4 linked regions of the Nothobranchius furzeri genome follow. Each later gene encodes a partner of the first gene's protein in a complex. Links are inferred from orthologs where the notes say so. Each region holds a gene or a part of one and is shown in the gene's direction. Other genes may lie near its edges.

What was found. Proteins that work in one complex are often made in the same cells at the same time.
Region 2: pak1 (region 1) and arhgef6 share a complex: the UniProt entries of both Homo sapiens proteins name them as parts of the cytoplasmic complex. The link is inferred for Nothobranchius furzeri from reciprocal best matches to the Homo sapiens genes PAK1 and ARHGEF6.
Region 3: pak1 (region 1) and dcp1a share a complex: the UniProt entries of both Homo sapiens proteins name them as parts of the cytoplasmic complex. The link is inferred for Nothobranchius furzeri from reciprocal best matches to the Homo sapiens genes PAK1 and DCP1A.
Region 4: pak1 (region 1) and map3k5 share a complex: the UniProt entries of both Homo sapiens proteins name them as parts of the cytoplasmic complex. The link is inferred for Nothobranchius furzeri from reciprocal best matches to the Homo sapiens genes PAK1 and MAP3K5.

The regions. Positions count from the first base shown.
Region 1 is NC_091753.1:60,585,818-60,589,923, forward strand, and holds the start of pak1 (serine/threonine-protein kinase PAK 1), read left to right. Parts: upstream 1-1,298; 5' UTR 1,299-1,450; intron 1,451-4,106. UniProt on the Homo sapiens protein: Protein kinase involved in intracellular signaling pathways downstream of integrins and receptor-type kinases that plays an important role in cytoskeleton dynamics, in cell adhesion, migration, proliferation, apoptosis, mitosis, and in vesicle-mediated transport processes.
Region 2 is NC_091741.1:83,155,381-83,159,404, reverse strand, and holds the start of arhgef6 (rho guanine nucleotide exchange factor 6), read left to right. Parts: upstream 1-1,219; 5' UTR 1,220-1,361; coding exon 1,362-1,526; intron 1,527-2,491; coding exon 2,492-2,575; intron 2,576-4,024. UniProt on the Homo sapiens protein: Acts as a RAC1 guanine nucleotide exchange factor (GEF).
Region 3 is NC_091755.1:32,995,953-32,999,950, reverse strand, and holds the start of dcp1a (mRNA-decapping enzyme 1A), read left to right. Parts: upstream 1-1,193; 5' UTR 1,194-1,232; coding exon 1,233-1,361; intron 1,362-1,735; coding exon 1,736-1,776; intron 1,777-2,546; coding exon 2,547-2,674; intron 2,675-3,998. UniProt on the Homo sapiens protein: Necessary for the degradation of mRNAs, both in normal mRNA turnover and in nonsense-mediated mRNA decay. Removes the 7-methyl guanine cap structure from mRNA molecules, yielding a 5'-phosphorylated mRNA fragment and 7m-GDP.
Region 4 is NC_091742.1:11,510,402-11,514,657, reverse strand, and holds the start of map3k5 (mitogen-activated protein kinase kinase kinase 5), read left to right. Parts: upstream 1-1,451; 5' UTR 1,452-1,663; coding exon 1,664-2,087; intron 2,088-4,256. UniProt on the Homo sapiens protein: Serine/threonine kinase which acts as an essential component of the MAP kinase signal transduction pathway. Plays an important role in the cascades of cellular responses evoked by changes in the environment.

The DNA.
Region 1 (4,106 bases):
ATTATATTACATAACGTTATGTCATGACGCCATATAATTCATTATTGATGCTTAATTAACTTGAATGGTGATTTGCAGCCGATAAAGTTTAACATCTTGACTTGCCTTACCCGTTTTATCTTCATTTGAAGTTAAAGACCGCGAGCTTGTTTGAGAAAAAAAAGGTGCTCATTTTTGCACATTTATCTGCATCTGTTTCCAGCGCTTTCCTCTTTTTAATTCTTGCCTTCTCCGCGCCACCCTTGCTCTTTCTACTTTCCATCTTTCCGTCAACTGCGTGGTCACGTGGTGCGCACAGGCGCATACGGGGGAAAAAAACAACGAGCTGCAGCCTGCAGGTAGAGACAGCCGGGAGGAGCGTATGTGATCAGCCCGGCGGCCTCAGTGCCATGACTGAACACCGGCACCAAAAAATAAAAATAAAATGATAAAAAACAAAAACGAGAGCACCGGCCGCATGCGGCCCAAACATCGCGCGGCCCACCGGGAATTCTCCAGACCCTCCCGATTAGCCACTCCGGGCCTGGCTGCAGCCTCAATCCACTTGTTTCTCAGACATTTGGTGTTTTCTCAATAGGCAGTAATGTATTTAGATTTTTACAGCCTATAGTAAGACACTAAATGAGTAAAGTCCGAACAGTTGTCATACACACTGGTGGGTGGTGAAATTTGTTCTCTGCATTTGACCCATCTCCGTCTGAAGCGTTGAGCTGCATCAGTTGGTGGTTTAACCCCCAATCCAACCCTTTAAAGCTGAGTGTCAAGCAGGGAGGCATTGGGTCCCATTTTTTTGTCTTTGGTATGACCCGACCAGAATATAAACTCCAAAATATTGATTTTTTTAAACCAGATGTATTATATCATTAAACTTTTTTTATTTCAATATTATTTTTACTCTAAACATTATTAAAAATAACCGTTATTTTAAACACAGTTTGATTACATAGATGCATAGTATTTGTTTTCAATTTTTTTAAAGAAAATTAACTAATTGGCGGCAGTATTTAACTCAAACATGTCTCAGTTTATCCAATATTTTCAAAGGATCATCTTGGTGTGAAAGGTTGTACCTGAATGCAATCCTGGTAATCAAAACCCATTAGGAAGTTAAACATTCTCATACTTCGTCATTGACACTGAACGCACCATTTGAACGTTCTGGGACCCACCCTGGAGTTGAAACAGACATCCATTTTAGCCAATAAGTGACGGGAACGAGTGACGCTTGACCAATAGCGTGCCTGGATCCCCGTCTGAGGAGGCGGAGACTTCTGCTTCGATAAGCCTGTGTGCTCGGGAAGTTCGTCTCGGTCTGAACCACCGAGGAGGGCGGCAGGAGAGGCAGGGTTGTTCCGCGAGGGGAGCAGTTTGCTGGATACGTGAGACGGTGTGAACCGGGAACGGAAAACAACGGAACATTTTGGGATTTACATCCGCTACCGTAAAAGTGGTAAGTAACCTTTTTGACTTTATTTCTGAACCGCTAAATTAGCCGCTAGTCAACAATAGTCAGCCGGGCGCGGTGCGCGGTGCTTCAGTGGCTAATAGACCGGCAGCACTCCATTATCTCCTACGTTAATGCCCAGTATCCTGCTGGCTCATCACTAACGCGCACTTAGCGGACTTTAGACGGCGCGGGTGCTGCTGGAGAACCCGCTCCCTCCCAGGTCAGTTGGCTGTTTTAACACAGGTGGCGTAGAAATGAATGAACGCCTCCCAGTTTTCTCATTCCCACCTCTAAAGGGGACTCCTGGTCAAGGACGTAATTTTCACGTTAGAAGTGGGGGGGACACGGGGGGGGGGGGGGTATCTTTACAGTATGTTCTAATGGGAAACAGGCTTCAACACAAACGGTTGTTTTCTGCTTGGTCCTAGAGCTCAACCAGTGTCAATTTAATATAGTGTAATATTGTTTTTGGATGGTAAAAAGTGCAGGGGTCAAAACTTGACTTTGGAAAAAGTGGAGGGGACATGTCCCCCCTGTCCCCCCCCAAAATTACGTCCATGCTCCTGGTTAATCCATCAGTAGCTGTTGCCCATGTGAGCCGCTCCCGAACGCGAGAGCGGAAAATCCAGAATTATTTGGTAAAAATGGTGTTTACTACTTTACTGACCCGACTGATACCTCCTGTCTGTGTGGAAATCGTCTCCCCGAGCTTTGCTGCTGTTTAAGAATGGATGAATAAAAAAGTACTCTATTAGTATTATATTGTGATATTATTATTTAGTATTAAGTATTCAACCACCAAATAGTTACCGAGCGCAGCCGCTGCTGCAGCAGGGATGGGTCACATGCGGAGGGCTCAGCAGTTTGTGATGACTTCTGTAACTTGATAATTACAGTAGGTGGTCCGTTTGTATAGCACCTTACATGGGCGGCTCCAGGATTTTTTTGGGGGTGGGGGTGGGGGGGGGTGTCATGTATGGTTTGGGAACAAACCTGCCCAGCAAACATTGTCACAACAGTGTGGCAGGGCTATAGACTGCGACCTTTTCAAGTAAAAAAAAAAAGTCTCTGACACTGAAAATAGTTTCCCTGTTGTTCAACAACAGACCCATGTCTTGGTCTAAACCAATCAGAGATGGTGAAGAGCAGGACCCTCTCTGATTGTTTGTGGTTCCTTCACTTGGGAATGTAAGCTGCAGCCAGAGAGATGAGCTGGCCAGGCCAATCAGTTAGAGTGAATGTCGCACAGATGAGAAGAAGGATTGGAACAAACTATTTACAACTTTGTCATGAAGTTAGAACCTGAGCCGTTCCAAAATCTATCCCAATGCTCTTACACAGAGCCATCAACCTCCAAGGTTATGTTAGGCCTTGGTCTTGGTCTTGGTCTTGGGCTCTCTCTCTCTCTCTCTCTCTCGCTCTCTCGCTCTCCGTCGATATACAGGTCCTTCTAAAAAATTAGCATATTGTGATAAAGTTCATTATTGTCTGTAATGTACTGGTAAACATTAGACTTTCATATATATTAGACTCATTAAACACAACTGAAGTAGTTCAAGCCTTTTATTGTTTCTAATATTGATGATTGTGGCGTACAGCTCATGAAAACCCAAAACTCCTATCTCAAAAATTAGCATATCATGAAAAGGTTCTCTAAACGAGCTATTAACCTAATCATCTGAATCAACTAATGAACTCTAAACACCTGCAAAAGATTCCTGAGGCTTTTAAAGACTCCCAGCGTGGTTCATTACTCAAAACCACAATTATGGGTAACACTGCCGACCTGACTGCTGTCCAGAAGGCCATCATTGACACCCTCAAGCAAGAGGCTAAGACACAGAAAGACATTTCTGAACGAATAGGCTGTTCCCAGAGTGCTGTATCAAGGCACCTCAGTGGGAAGTCTGTGGGAAGGAACAAGTGTGGCAGAAAACGCTGCACAACCAGAAGAGGTGACCGGACCCTGAGGAAGATTGTGGAGAAGGACCGATTCCAGACCTTGGGGGACCTGCGGAAGCAGTGGACTGAGTCTGGAGTAGAAACGTCCAGAGCCACCGTGTACAGGCGTGTGCAGGAAATGGGCTACAGGTGCCGCATTCCCCAGGTCAAGCCACCTTTGAACCAGAAACAGCGGCAGAAGCGCCTGACCTGGGCTACAGAGAAGCAGCACTGGACTGTTGCTCAGTGGTCCAAAGTACTTTTTTCAGATGAAAGCAAATTCTGCATGTCATTCGGAAATCAAGGTGCCAGAGACTGGGCAGAGGGAAATGCCAACATGCCTGAAGTCCAGTGTCAAGTACCCACAATCAGTGATGGTCTGGGGCGCCATGCCAGCTGCTGGTGTTGGTCCACTGTGTTTTATCAAGGGCAGGGTCAATGCAGCTAGCTATCAGGAGATGTTGGAGCACTTCATGCTTCCATCTGCTGAAAAGCTTTATGGAGATGAAGATTTCATTTTTCAGCATGACCTGGCACCTGCTCACAGCGCCAAAACCACTGGTAGATGGTTTACTGACCATGGTATTACTGTGCTCAACTGGCCTGCCTTGCGTTGACTGTAGAGTTGTGGGTGATGGTCGCGCAGATGTGTCATGAGATTTGAAGCGTTGCTGCCTTTCACACACTTTTTCTGCACGTGCTGCAAACAGGATAGCCG
Region 2 (4,024 bases), on another chromosome or scaffold:
CTTTTAATAACATATTCCAAACAGAAGGTTGCTATTTTAGCTCCGGATCGCTCCTGTGCTGACGGGACCTACGTCTTTAGAGGTTGTCTTTTATTTAGCTCAAATGATCTCTTCAGTGTTTAGAGGCTCTTCTTTTAAGTTTGCTTTGTACCTGAAATATTCCCAAACAGCATAAGTTGTTCTTTTTAGACACCCAAGTGGACTTCTCAGCGTGATGACATAAAAATAAAGTCATCACGACATCGTGAAGACTTTATGGAACATCTCAAAATTTGGACACATTGTAAACCATTTAAAAGAACTGTAAATTCAACCACTCATCTGTTATATACATTTACATAAGTTACATTTATTTATCTTTATTTTTCTTAATCCTTGTCTCCTACGTGCAGTTTATTTTTTTCATGATGGTATTGGAACTGACACGGTTTCCACTCTACAACAGCAGACTTGTTCATGCTGATCCAAGCTATTCAGGGCTTTTTTGCCCTGAGGGCTGCTTGCAAGGCATTCATTTCTACCAGAGGCCACTGCAAATATATTAAACCAGTTTCCCACACCTATAAATATCTTTGTTGGCACTTAATATTTGGTTCTTTTTGAAGTTTTTGAGTTGTCTAAAGCATAAAAAAGAACAAATGTACATTTTTTTCTTCAATATTTTTCAGGTGCTGATCCAGCTCTGTGCAGGTGCTGGATGAATCAGAACTGGAGCAACTTAAAGTGGGAAGAATTCAGGAGTTCTTTAAAAAAAAATCTTATTATTTTTTAATAAATATTTTTCAAAGAGCAGTGGTGTCAAGTTATTATGTTTTTTAAAATATTGTTAAAATACAGTTTATGTCTGCCTTCAAAATGTATGAATGTTTTAAACTGGTTTTGTAAAAATTATTTTAACGGACCAATAAGAGGTAGGCCTAGATTGTTTTTATGGTCGGGTTTAGCAAAGTTGTCCCCATCCTGCAAATGTAAATATTCATAAAACTCATAAACACTGAACATACCTATTTTGCTTTTATTTTACATGCTCGCTAATTTGACTGCGTTATTACCAAATACACATTTTTATTCTGGATTAGGTTTCCCCTCTTGCATGATGTGATGAACACCAAACATATTAGTTTTCTGAGCCTTACTTCCTGTGATAAAGTCAACTTGCAGGAAACGTGTTGTTGAGGTTCCTGTATACCAGTAGGGGTGATCATCAGTTCTGCGTCCTGAACTGCGTCGCCTCTCCCCCCACACAGCCTTTTTTTTAACTTGCAGAAGTGCGGATGTGAGCTGCATATTGATACCTACGGAACAGGCCGCCAGTTTTCTTGTAGCTATGCGGGCTTAAGCAATGGTCGTTCTGCGGAGCTATGAATCCCGAAGAGCAGACGGTAACGTGGTTGATATCGCTGGGAGTGCTCAGCTCGCCCAAGAAGAACATAGCGGACCCGGAGGAGTTTCTGAAGACATCACTCAAGGATGGGGTCGTCCTGTGCAAGCTCACGGAGCGGCTCATACCTAGCTTCACTCCCAAGGTGAGCTGCTGATTTATCAAGTAAATGGAGAATGATCAGCAGAGATTTGGAAATAAGGGAGGGGTTTGATGAAAGCGATACCGACAGGAACTTCTTGCACTTCACAGGCTCAGCTTTCTGTTTGCGAGCTTAGAGTTTCAACAGCAAACTTAGTTCTTTCGCGTAGTGAGTGTTGCGTTGGATAACGGGAGCATCTAGTGAGTTTACTGACGAGGGGTTTTCAGTAAGTGGCTTCCTGTGAAGAGATAAAATGTTACGCGTTCTTGATCTGAGTGAATAGGTCTATCAAGGCTGCACTAAACGCCCCCTGTTAGGGGTAGAATGGACAGAGGGTTTAATTAAAGTCACGGAATTTGGAATTGTACTGTGATGCATGTGTATTTTAATGTTAAGTCTGGCGATAAGAAAGTTGATAGTGATAACAGTTGCAAATTCAGGTCGTCACTTCCTCTTGAGCGGCTGCTCTTCCCAGTGTGTACGACCTCCCCAGAGCAGAAGACAACCGGAAGTTGCTGCTTCTGCTTTACTCGACTCACTCTTTTTAGCTAGTTTCGTATCTTTACTTTTGTAGTTTCATGTTAGACTCAATAAAAAAATTCCGGTTAATTCTAAAACCAAATAAGTATTTCTTCTTCTAATGTCTCAATCACCTCGTGCTCGTCAGTAGCACAAGGCGGACTTTTATTTTGAAGGGCAGTGCTGGGAGCGGATGTTTTGCTTAAATATGGCTCTTGGCGTTTCACTGGGGTTTATGGTTATGTCTGCATGAAGGAGACGCACGAAGAACCAAGCACTGTTTCAGATCACGAGCTCACCATTGTTGGAATGCCACTGCATCGTTATTATAATCACAAATGGAACTAAAGTGATGCTTGAAGCGGTTTAATGTGTGTGTCTGATGACTGTTTGGCACACTGAACCGATGGACAGTCTGTGTTTATAACGTACTTATTCCGTGTGTTCAGTATTGTCAGGATCCCAGAACTGAAAGCGACTGCATTTCCAACATTAAGGAGTTTTTAAGAGGATGCTCGTCCTTGAAAGTTGAGGTGAGTTGACTCGTTTATTTTATTAAAGGTGTGTAATTATGATAATAACATAAGTTTTTTTTATCTTCTTTATTCATCCCTGGCTATTGCAGTTTTCAGAAATATTTGTTAACCATCTTGAATGTGTTGTGATCTGCTAAGCACGCTGACATATGGTGTCATGTTTATATGGATCATGGTAGGGAACTCACTCTAAACTAAAAGAGAAAGATAATTGATTGCATCACGCTGTATAAGAAACACAAACACGAAGTTTACTTCCTCACAAACTTCTCTTTTACATTAAAATGCAAATGAATAAATGTTTGGGCGCAGGCTGAAAGCTCTCAGAGACATCTCTAACTAGCCTGGCCAGCATGCCTCCTTCTGTGTAGAATTAAACAGAGGACGAGACTGGCAGGCCAGGCTATCTCTTAACTGTCCTGGGTTGCAAAAGTATGTCCTATAGGAGAAAGAGTTGAATCATTTGCAGATGTTAGGAGTTTCTTGGTTATTTTACCAGCAGCTTCCACAGTGGACATTAATGACGTTTCCAGTGTTATAAATAACCTGTTTTGGTTTTGAAACACATCACTTGGTTTCTTTAAACAGTTAATTGAGTCAGCAGGCTTGGCTTGCTTTAGTGGTTGAGTAGTTCTGTCCAGCTGGGTTGTTATGTCTGGGAGGTCCTGTTAGCTTTTACCCGCCAGCTCCGCTTTAGCCCATAATTAGACCTTCTGCCACCAGTCAGTAGGTCAGTGGCAGATGTTTTCTGAGACGCTGTTGAATGTGTCAGCCAGAGGATGTCTGTGTGACTACTGGAGCTGGCCCTTACCTCAGTGATTATGGTTAAAGTATTTCTATCTTTTTTTGCTATGGCATTAGTGGCAGCTCACTGTGACTACACACACACACACACACACACACACACACACACACACACACACACACACACAAAAGCAGATATACTGCTTTCACTTCTGCTCTTAGATAAACAAAGAGGAAGAAGCACCGATTACTGATCAGGGCCTGTTTATTCACTCTGTGCTCACATTTATGATCGTACACCTTCACTGACATTTAGAATTGTATAGCATACTTTACTGCTACTTTCATAATTAGCATATTAATACTGATTAGTAGCCTTGACCTGTAATCTGTTTTACACACACACACGCACGCACGTTCGTACGTACGTACGTATGTATGTATGTATATGTATATATATATATATATATATATATATATATATATATATATACATATATATATACATATACATACACATATATACATATGTGTATGTATATGTATATTTGTGTATATATGTAATGTGTATATATGTATATAATGTATAATGTATGTATGAGCTTGTATATACGTATATTTTTAGTTTTTTCAGTTTTTGTTACAAAGTAAATTTTCTCTTTCTCCACCATTGTGTGTGCAATAAAGAACCAGAACTCAGAT
Region 3 (3,998 bases), on another chromosome or scaffold:
CCAAAGCTAGGGTCAAATAATAAACATGATTTTTTAAATAGAATTTTCAGACACTTTCATTCACTTATTAGCAGTTTAGGATTTGAATAAAAGGAAAATCTAACTTTGACTTCATAACAAGGAAAATAATGCAAGTTCTTCTCAAATAGGTCTGAGTAATAAATCTGAAATTATAAACTGCATTCATAAAACCATGTCAGGCGTTGTGAAATATTGTTCTGTTTTTGCTTTCATTTTCTTTCAAGATTAACAAAATATATACCAAACAACTTGGGTAAATAAAATGATCAACAATAGAAATTTTAGGCGTAAAAACACAAGTTAAAATGAAAAAAACCATTGTGATGTGTACATATTTCCATGAAACTTGAGGTAGGAAACATATTAGGCTACATGAAATTAACATTATAATTGCAGGCTTTTGCATTGCAAATAGCTACTGAACTCAATTTTAATAATAAATAACTCCAAATTTTGATCATCCAATGAATGAGGTGTGAACAAGTTGTTAAAATAGGTATCTATTTCCGTGTTTTTCTGCTTCACAGTTTGTTGCACATTGCTAAATATTATTTTGGTGGAAATTAAATATGTGGGTTAAAAGTTTATTATCATTTTTATATTTTAAGAAACCTGCAATCACATGAAACTTTCTTAACCCTCTGGAGGCAGGCGCTGCAGATTTGCAACAGTTAAAACCTACCTAACTGGTTACTCCACATACGTATTTCATGAGCATTTTTTTAACTCAGATGTATCCCTGAAAGACTTAGTTGTTTGTTCCTTTATCAAAACTTATTTTGAGCCTGAGAGGGTTAAATGCCTAGAGTATACACATTACATGTATTCCCTTAATTTGAACTGGCTTGCATAAAAGTCCAAAAAAGTTTGAAACTTGTTTTTCTAATATCTCAAAGGATGACATTATGTGTAGGAAATAAGCTTCAACTTCAGTTGGCAAACTACCTTTTCAAACTATGTTCACATTGTTGTGGGTTTGGTTTCAGACATATTTTTTCTGCATTTTCTCTCAGAATTTGCAATTACATTGTTTTTATTATTATTATTATTATTATTATTATTATTATTATTATTATTATTATTATTATTATTCCCCGCGGAATTAAAAAAACTCCTCTGGGGAACCTTTTCAGTGGTGGGATTTCCGTAAATACCGGAAGTTATAGGTGTTTGCAAAAATTCGTCCGTGCGGCAGAAAATCATAAGCAAAGATGGCGATTAATGCTGGACATCTGATGAGTTTAGCTGCTTTGCAGAGACACGATCCATACATTAACAAACTGCTCGATGTTACCGGTCAGGTTGCTCTTTACAACTTCAATTCAAAAGCAAACGAATGGGTAAGTAAGAGAATTTACCCTGGAAAAGTTTCGGGAAATATTTGGTGGAGAGCCAACAAAGCTAGCTTCACACTTAGCTTCTGAGCTTTGATTCAAAACAGAAAATATTGTTGTTGTTTTTTTTTTGGGGGGGGGGGTTGTTTGTTTGTTTGTTTTGTTTTTTAAGTAAATGTCTTTATTTGTTTAGTTAATTAAGATAGCGTTGTCTAGTATGTTGTTTTAACGCGAACACAATTAATGCATCTTAGGTACTTTCTAATTGTAAAATTTAACGCCTTATTAGCTTTCAGTTAGCTTATCACCCTCGCTAAATTTATTTAGCTAGTTTGGATTTGCGGTTTCTAGGTTTGAGTCGTTATCTCTATTTGTTCCAGGAGAAAACCGAAGTTGAGGGAACCCTGTTTGTTTATGCAAGGTAAGAATACCTGAGAGCCACGATGGTTGTTCCGCCGTCTGCGCACGTGAGGCCTTGAAATTTGTAAACAAAGATAAAGTGGACTCTGTGATTCAGTAAATCGAACGTAAATTACAGTGTTTAGAGATTGAAACTGAAATATTATGTTATAACGTTGTAATAAACTTTATTTTTAATCAGTTAAAGCATGAAGAACTAAAACGACCACCTACAAACTTTAGTTATAAGGAAATATAATAGACTTTATTAATTTTGTGGGTAAATTCACTCGTTACAGAAGCACATACACTTAGAGAATAGAAGAAGAAAAATAACAAAAGTACCAGTAAATACACAAAGGCAAATCTTTCTGTTAAAAAAATAAACAGGACACGAATTTGTTGTAGGTTACTTTGAATTGGACTGGGAGCTACTTAAATCAATAGTAAAGTTAACTGCTATCCTTTATATTAATTACTAGCACAGTAAACAGCTCCTGCTTTTTAGCAGGTAGAGACCTCCCACACTTGTGCCGACCCAAACCATAAAACTGTTAAATGTAGTTTCTGGTCAGCAGAGGGCTACTGAGTGCTGTCCCATGTGAAGATGTTCAACTTTATGGCTGAAGAACCACTGAAACCAGTTTGAAGGCAATAGCTTAAAGTGTCGAAAACTCTTTAGTATTGCTTTAAATGGTCAATTAAAAACAATCAAATGTGGAGTAAATATTGTACCCAAAGCAATGTGAAGTGCAATTAAGGAGGTAATGTTTTTCCTGGGTCCTTATGAAGGTCTGCCTCCCCTCACCATGGCTTCACCATTATGAATCGACTGAGTGCACAGAACCTTGTTGAGCCCATAAATAAAGACCTGGAGTTCCAGCTGCAGGATCCTTTCTTGCTCTACAGAAATGGAAACTGTGAGTGTTTTGAAGGAAATGAAACACTAAAGAAGTATTTTTGAAATATGTTATTTTTTCTGTTGTATTTTGGTGTGTTTGTGGTTTTGTTTCAAGGTGACTTAACATTAAGGACTTGTTTCCAGCACAGAAAAAGTGTTTAATAAATCTGTAAACATGTTTAATGACTTCTGAACCAAAATGAAAATACATTTCCTCCTAGTATAATAGCTTATTATTATTGTTGCTTTGTTAAATTCTGTTAGTCACAAAATGCTCATTATTTAATAGAAATTTCTGCAATTTTGGCATTTTCATAATTTTCCTATTTGAAGCATTAGTGATATCTTCACTTTTACATACAAATGTGTGTATTAATTATATTAACTAGCACAAACACTATTATGATCCTTAATTATATTAACTAGCATAAACACTATTATGATCCTTAATTATATTAACTAGCATAAACACTATTATGATCCTTAATTATATTAACTAGCATAAACACTATTATGATCCTACCTGTGAAAACAATAGACAGATATCTCCCCAGCGTTCGATGGAACACCTCTCTTCCATATTGCTTGAAGTCATTGTGACGTCTTGCAGCATCAAGCAGGAACACTTTAGCACTCATGGCCCAAAATGGCCAAACAGCAACTTCAGCTTTGCTAGTGAACAGTTATCTTTCTGCATTTGGGCAACCGTCTCAGAGTTAAGTCTCTGATTGGTGAATCCGACCACTAAGTTAATCCAGCGATGTCCTCCAGCCTTGTGACAGAGCAGTGTAACAAAAAGGCCGCAAAGTTTCTCAAATCTTCAAAAAGTAGCTGACTGCGCTGCCTCCAAGGTAATCTATTAGAAGTCTGAAGAGAAGCTTCATCAGGGCAACGAACAAGGAGTTAGAATGCTTTCCCATTTGTTTGCTTATAAGGAAAAACAGCATAGCCAGGGTCAAAGTTAGAGTCGACGGCTCCCCTTTTGGAGTTGGTTTGCACATCAGCCTGGCTGGGATCGAGGACATGATGAGGTTGGTATCCCAGTAAAACCAGCTTCTCGGATAACTTTACTTTAGCATGTGTGCTAATATTGTTGTTTGGTGGAGTTGCAGGAAGATAATCTTCAGGTTTCTCCCTGGCAGCAGACAGTCCCTCGCACACACACAGTCCACTAGATCTCAGTGTGCTGACTCGTTCTGTAGCCTGTTGCTGTAAAGGTGTGGCTGTATGAGTTTAGATTTCCCAGCTGTGATCCTGAAAGCGAGAGTAGTAGAAGAAACGATGAAGACTGAGCTGGCATAAAAGCAGGATCAAATAAAGAGCACAGGTTAGACACAAGTACG
Region 4 (4,256 bases), on another chromosome or scaffold:
ACTGTCATAAATGTCTTCATCAATGGCTGCATTAGAATGGAGTTCCTGGCAAAGAGGGATTTAGTTATTAATTACGTTTCATCTCATCACTCCTAGATTCAGGACTTTGCGCAAACTGACCATCTTTCTGTGTAAAGTCAGATTGTGACCACAAGAGGGCGACCTTAGACAGGAAAAGGTTGAAGCACGACGCTTCTGTGCGGGGACCATGACGTCACTCCACAAAGGAAAATTCGGTGTTTGTTTCAACCAGTTGCTCTACAGGTTTTACACACGAGCCGGAACTGATAATGGGCTTCCTGCCTGGAATAGGGCCTGGGCGATGGCATTACGTTGCTGTGCAACAACAGAGAAAGTTTCAAACGGAGGGGGGGAAAACAGTAAGGGACTAGATTTATTTTCAGTTCAATTCAATTCAATTTTATTTATATAGCGCCAAATCACGACAAGAGTCGTCTCATGGCACTTCACATAATAAACATTCCAATTCAGGTCAGTTCATTAAGCCAATCAGAAATAATGTTTCCTATATAAGGAACCCAGAAAATTGCATCAAGTCACTGACTAGTGTCAGTGACTATACAGCAATCCTCTAAGCAAGCATGCAGCAACAGTGGAGAGGAAAACTCCCTTTTAACAGGAAGAAACCTTCAGAGAATCCTGGCTCAGTATAAGCAGCCATCCTCTATGACTCACTGGGGATCGAGAAGATAGAGCAGTCACACACACACACACACACACACACACACACACACACACACACACACACACACACACACACACGCACACACACACACACACACACACACACACACACACACACACACGCACGCACGCACACACACACACACACACACACACACAAAGTAATGTGTCTATAGTTATATTGTGATGTCTTAGTAAATATTCTATTTGGTGAGAGATAAACTTTATTGTATGTATCCTAGTGGATCTATAATTAAACGGATAAACTAGTAGTAGCACATCCAACGTCAAGGAAAGCAAAAAGTTATTATCAGGAGAGGGAGAATGTTAAATGACATTTTCATGAAGCTCTGGTGTGAAACTTGATGGGTTTTAGAAGGTGCGCTTGTTCTGGTGTCCTGAAGCAGCTTCGAGCCTCCACCCAGCTCCTACAGCTGTCTGCCCGCCCAGTGCGTGGGTCTGCTCGGAGAGATAACAGCAGAAACGGGCAGGGTGTGCCCGCAAATTCGAGGCGCCTGTCAGTGCATGCGCACGCTCTCTCTGTCTCTTATAAAAGATGACGTAGCGCAGCTCCAACTTCGACTCGCTGTGACGTTGGTGATTCCTGTGGGCGTTGCTGCTCCGCTGCCTAACTTTGAGAAGTGCTGTGGGAGAGAGGAGCGCAGGAATCTGTCGAGCTGAGGCGGAATGTGGCGCGGATTTCGCTGCGCTTTCCTCTCCTCCTTCGCTTTGTTGTTGTGACTGACTTCGGTTGATTTTCGGCGTCATCAAACAGAAACATGCAGCCTGACGCGGAGCTGCGCCCCTGCCGCCTCTAGCAGGCTGTTTACCCGCGTGGAAACGCTCAGTCGCATGTCGTGTTTGCGCAGAAGCTCCGTGCGTAACGCCGCCTCTCCATGGAGGACTGCTGGAGGAGCCGCTCACTGCGATCAACTCTTTAACTGACACTTGAAACGAGATGAATCTAGACCAGGACGGAATCTCATTCCCGGTTCCCAGCTTTTGTTCCGGCAGAGAGACCGTCAGCGGGGAACATCCCAGCAGCACCGGCGCTGGAGGAGGCGGCGGCGCTCCCGGGATCCCAGCAGCCGGGACTTTCTGGCAGGACCCGCTGCTCCCAGGCAGCAGGGTCAGTCCCACCTCCGGGGATGAGCTAATGGAGGGCGGGGGGTTGCTGTCCACCTGTAAGCCCGGTAAAAGCAGACCGGTGACGGTGGCTTACGTGGTGAACGGCGAGGCGAGCCCGCAGAACAACGCGGAGAGCATGGCCCTGCAGTGTCTGAAGGACGCGTGCGACCGGGTGGGCAGCAAACTGGACACTGTCAACTTTGGGAGGCTGGACTTTGGGGAGACCACAGTTTTAGACCGGTTCTACAACGCAGGTGAGTCAAAATTTGTGGGTCCCTAAAGGCCTCCAGTCACGCACGGGTCTGAGGTCACATCTCCTCTGTGCTCACCTCATCTCCAGTAAATCACGTTGCTCTGGGTTCGTCTCGCGCACGCACACCCAGATCGGCATGTCTGGACATGAAGCTTGCAAGTCGTCTAAGCTCAAACAGAAGACATGAACATTCAGGGCTGTTTTTTCCTGTTTCATTTACAAAAGTGGAGGTTTTATTTCTTCAGAGATCCACAGGGTCACTTTCAACTGAAGTCCAGAGATGATCTGATAAACATTTTATCAACTGCAATGCAATACATGCATTTAATTGTATTTTTGCTTATATATTTGTAGTTTGGGGCTCTGCAGCTGATGCATTATAAAATGCTAAAGCGTTGCAGACTCGGTTGTTCATCGTAAAATCAAGGGTCCTTCTGCAGACAGCCAGGATAAAACCAATGCTCCGACCCACACATCCTATTAAAGTAACACATTCAATATTCCAGAAAACAGAAGTTTTATCTAACCCAGCCTAAACACGCTTAACTCCTCTCCCTACAACAGAATTCCCCTTACAGGAGTTTTATCTGAAGGGCAAAAGGGGGAAAATCTGATATTTATTTTATTCTAAAAACAAAATATATGAATCCATTAAGTCTGTTAAGGATGGGAAATGCCACAACTGCTGCAACAGTTGACCAATATTGCAATCACCTACCTGGAACAATTACAACAAATCTGAGGATTCTTCTTTTGAAGAGGTAGAAAATAATCACTTGAGTCATTTATTTATTTCAGTTTGGCTAAATGTATCCAAGAATGATGCAAAAATGGAAGATTTGCTGTTAGAGACTCAGTAAAAAAATTTAATTGATTTCTCAAGATAAATTAACTAACTGGCTTCCAGTCAGCAGAAAATCCAAACGTCAATAATGACATAAGCCTGTAAGTGTGGAGAAATGATAAGTGGATAATTTATACTTTCAAAGTCATATAGGTCTTTATTGACTCATTCTTTCTTATAAATTCCACTATTCTTGTGGGATTTTTCCATATTTAAATGTGCACATTTTTTTTAATCAGCAAAAATAGAATAACAGCTGCTTATTGGAAACATGCATGTCTAGTTCTCTTATGTGTTTCTGCATTATTCACAGCAGAAGAAGAACAGGGCGGTATAATGTTGGGGTGTTGATTATGAAGCCACAATTAAAAACACTTTTTATTGCAGCGAGCTTGGCTAATAATTCTTTAGATAGTTTTAAAACAAACTATTGTTTTTGAGTCATAAAGTAGCGGCGGCGTTCCCCTCGGTGTAAATGACATTTTAAATGTCAAAACTGAGCAGATGCAAGAGATAAATTAAAGCTGGTGCCATTTAAAAAAAAACTGTGTTTAGAGAGGAAAAAGGTGTAAATATGAATGTTCCCTTTCATGTAAATTAAAGCTGTTTTTAGGTTCTAGGCTCGTTTCTGTATCCTGGTGAGATTCACGCAGGAATAGCAGGAAACGTAAAAATTTAGCTACTTTTTCGAGTTGACGGGCTTGTTGCTTCTTGCTGTTCCAGGTGCAATAAGTTCCCCGTGTTCTTTTGTCATCTTTCTCAGAACTACAGAACTCCCGGTGCACCGGGGAGGGCCGAGGCATTTTCCCGGAAAAGTTGCTTTTAGCTGTACTTCTTCATCCGTTTTCCTACGCAAATGTGCACGAGAGGGCACAGAACAATGAGCTCCGAGGACGAGCTGTGACTTCTGACACATTCTAATAGAGGGCGTTCCATGTTGTCCTCCAACAGCCTCCTCACATGATGCTGCGCACAAAAAAGGACAAGTCTTCAGGCTCGGATCCATAAAAAAAAACAAGATAAAGAAGCAAAAGTTTGACTCCATCGTCTTAGTCAGTTCATTCATGTTTCAGTTTTATGCACACGTTTCTTTGTTCTGTTCTCCAAAAGAAAAACAAAACATTTGACATATCTGAGGACTTTATTCTTATCTACATCTTTTACTTGTCGTCAACTCGCTGGCTTACTGCAGTGAGACAATTTTCTACTCAGATTTATATAATTAGAGATTTATGCAGCAATCCTTGGACATGCGGTTCTATTTATATGCGTGTCCCTGCTGCTAAACCCATATTCAGGGATTTTCTGAGTTTTTCTGCAGATTCT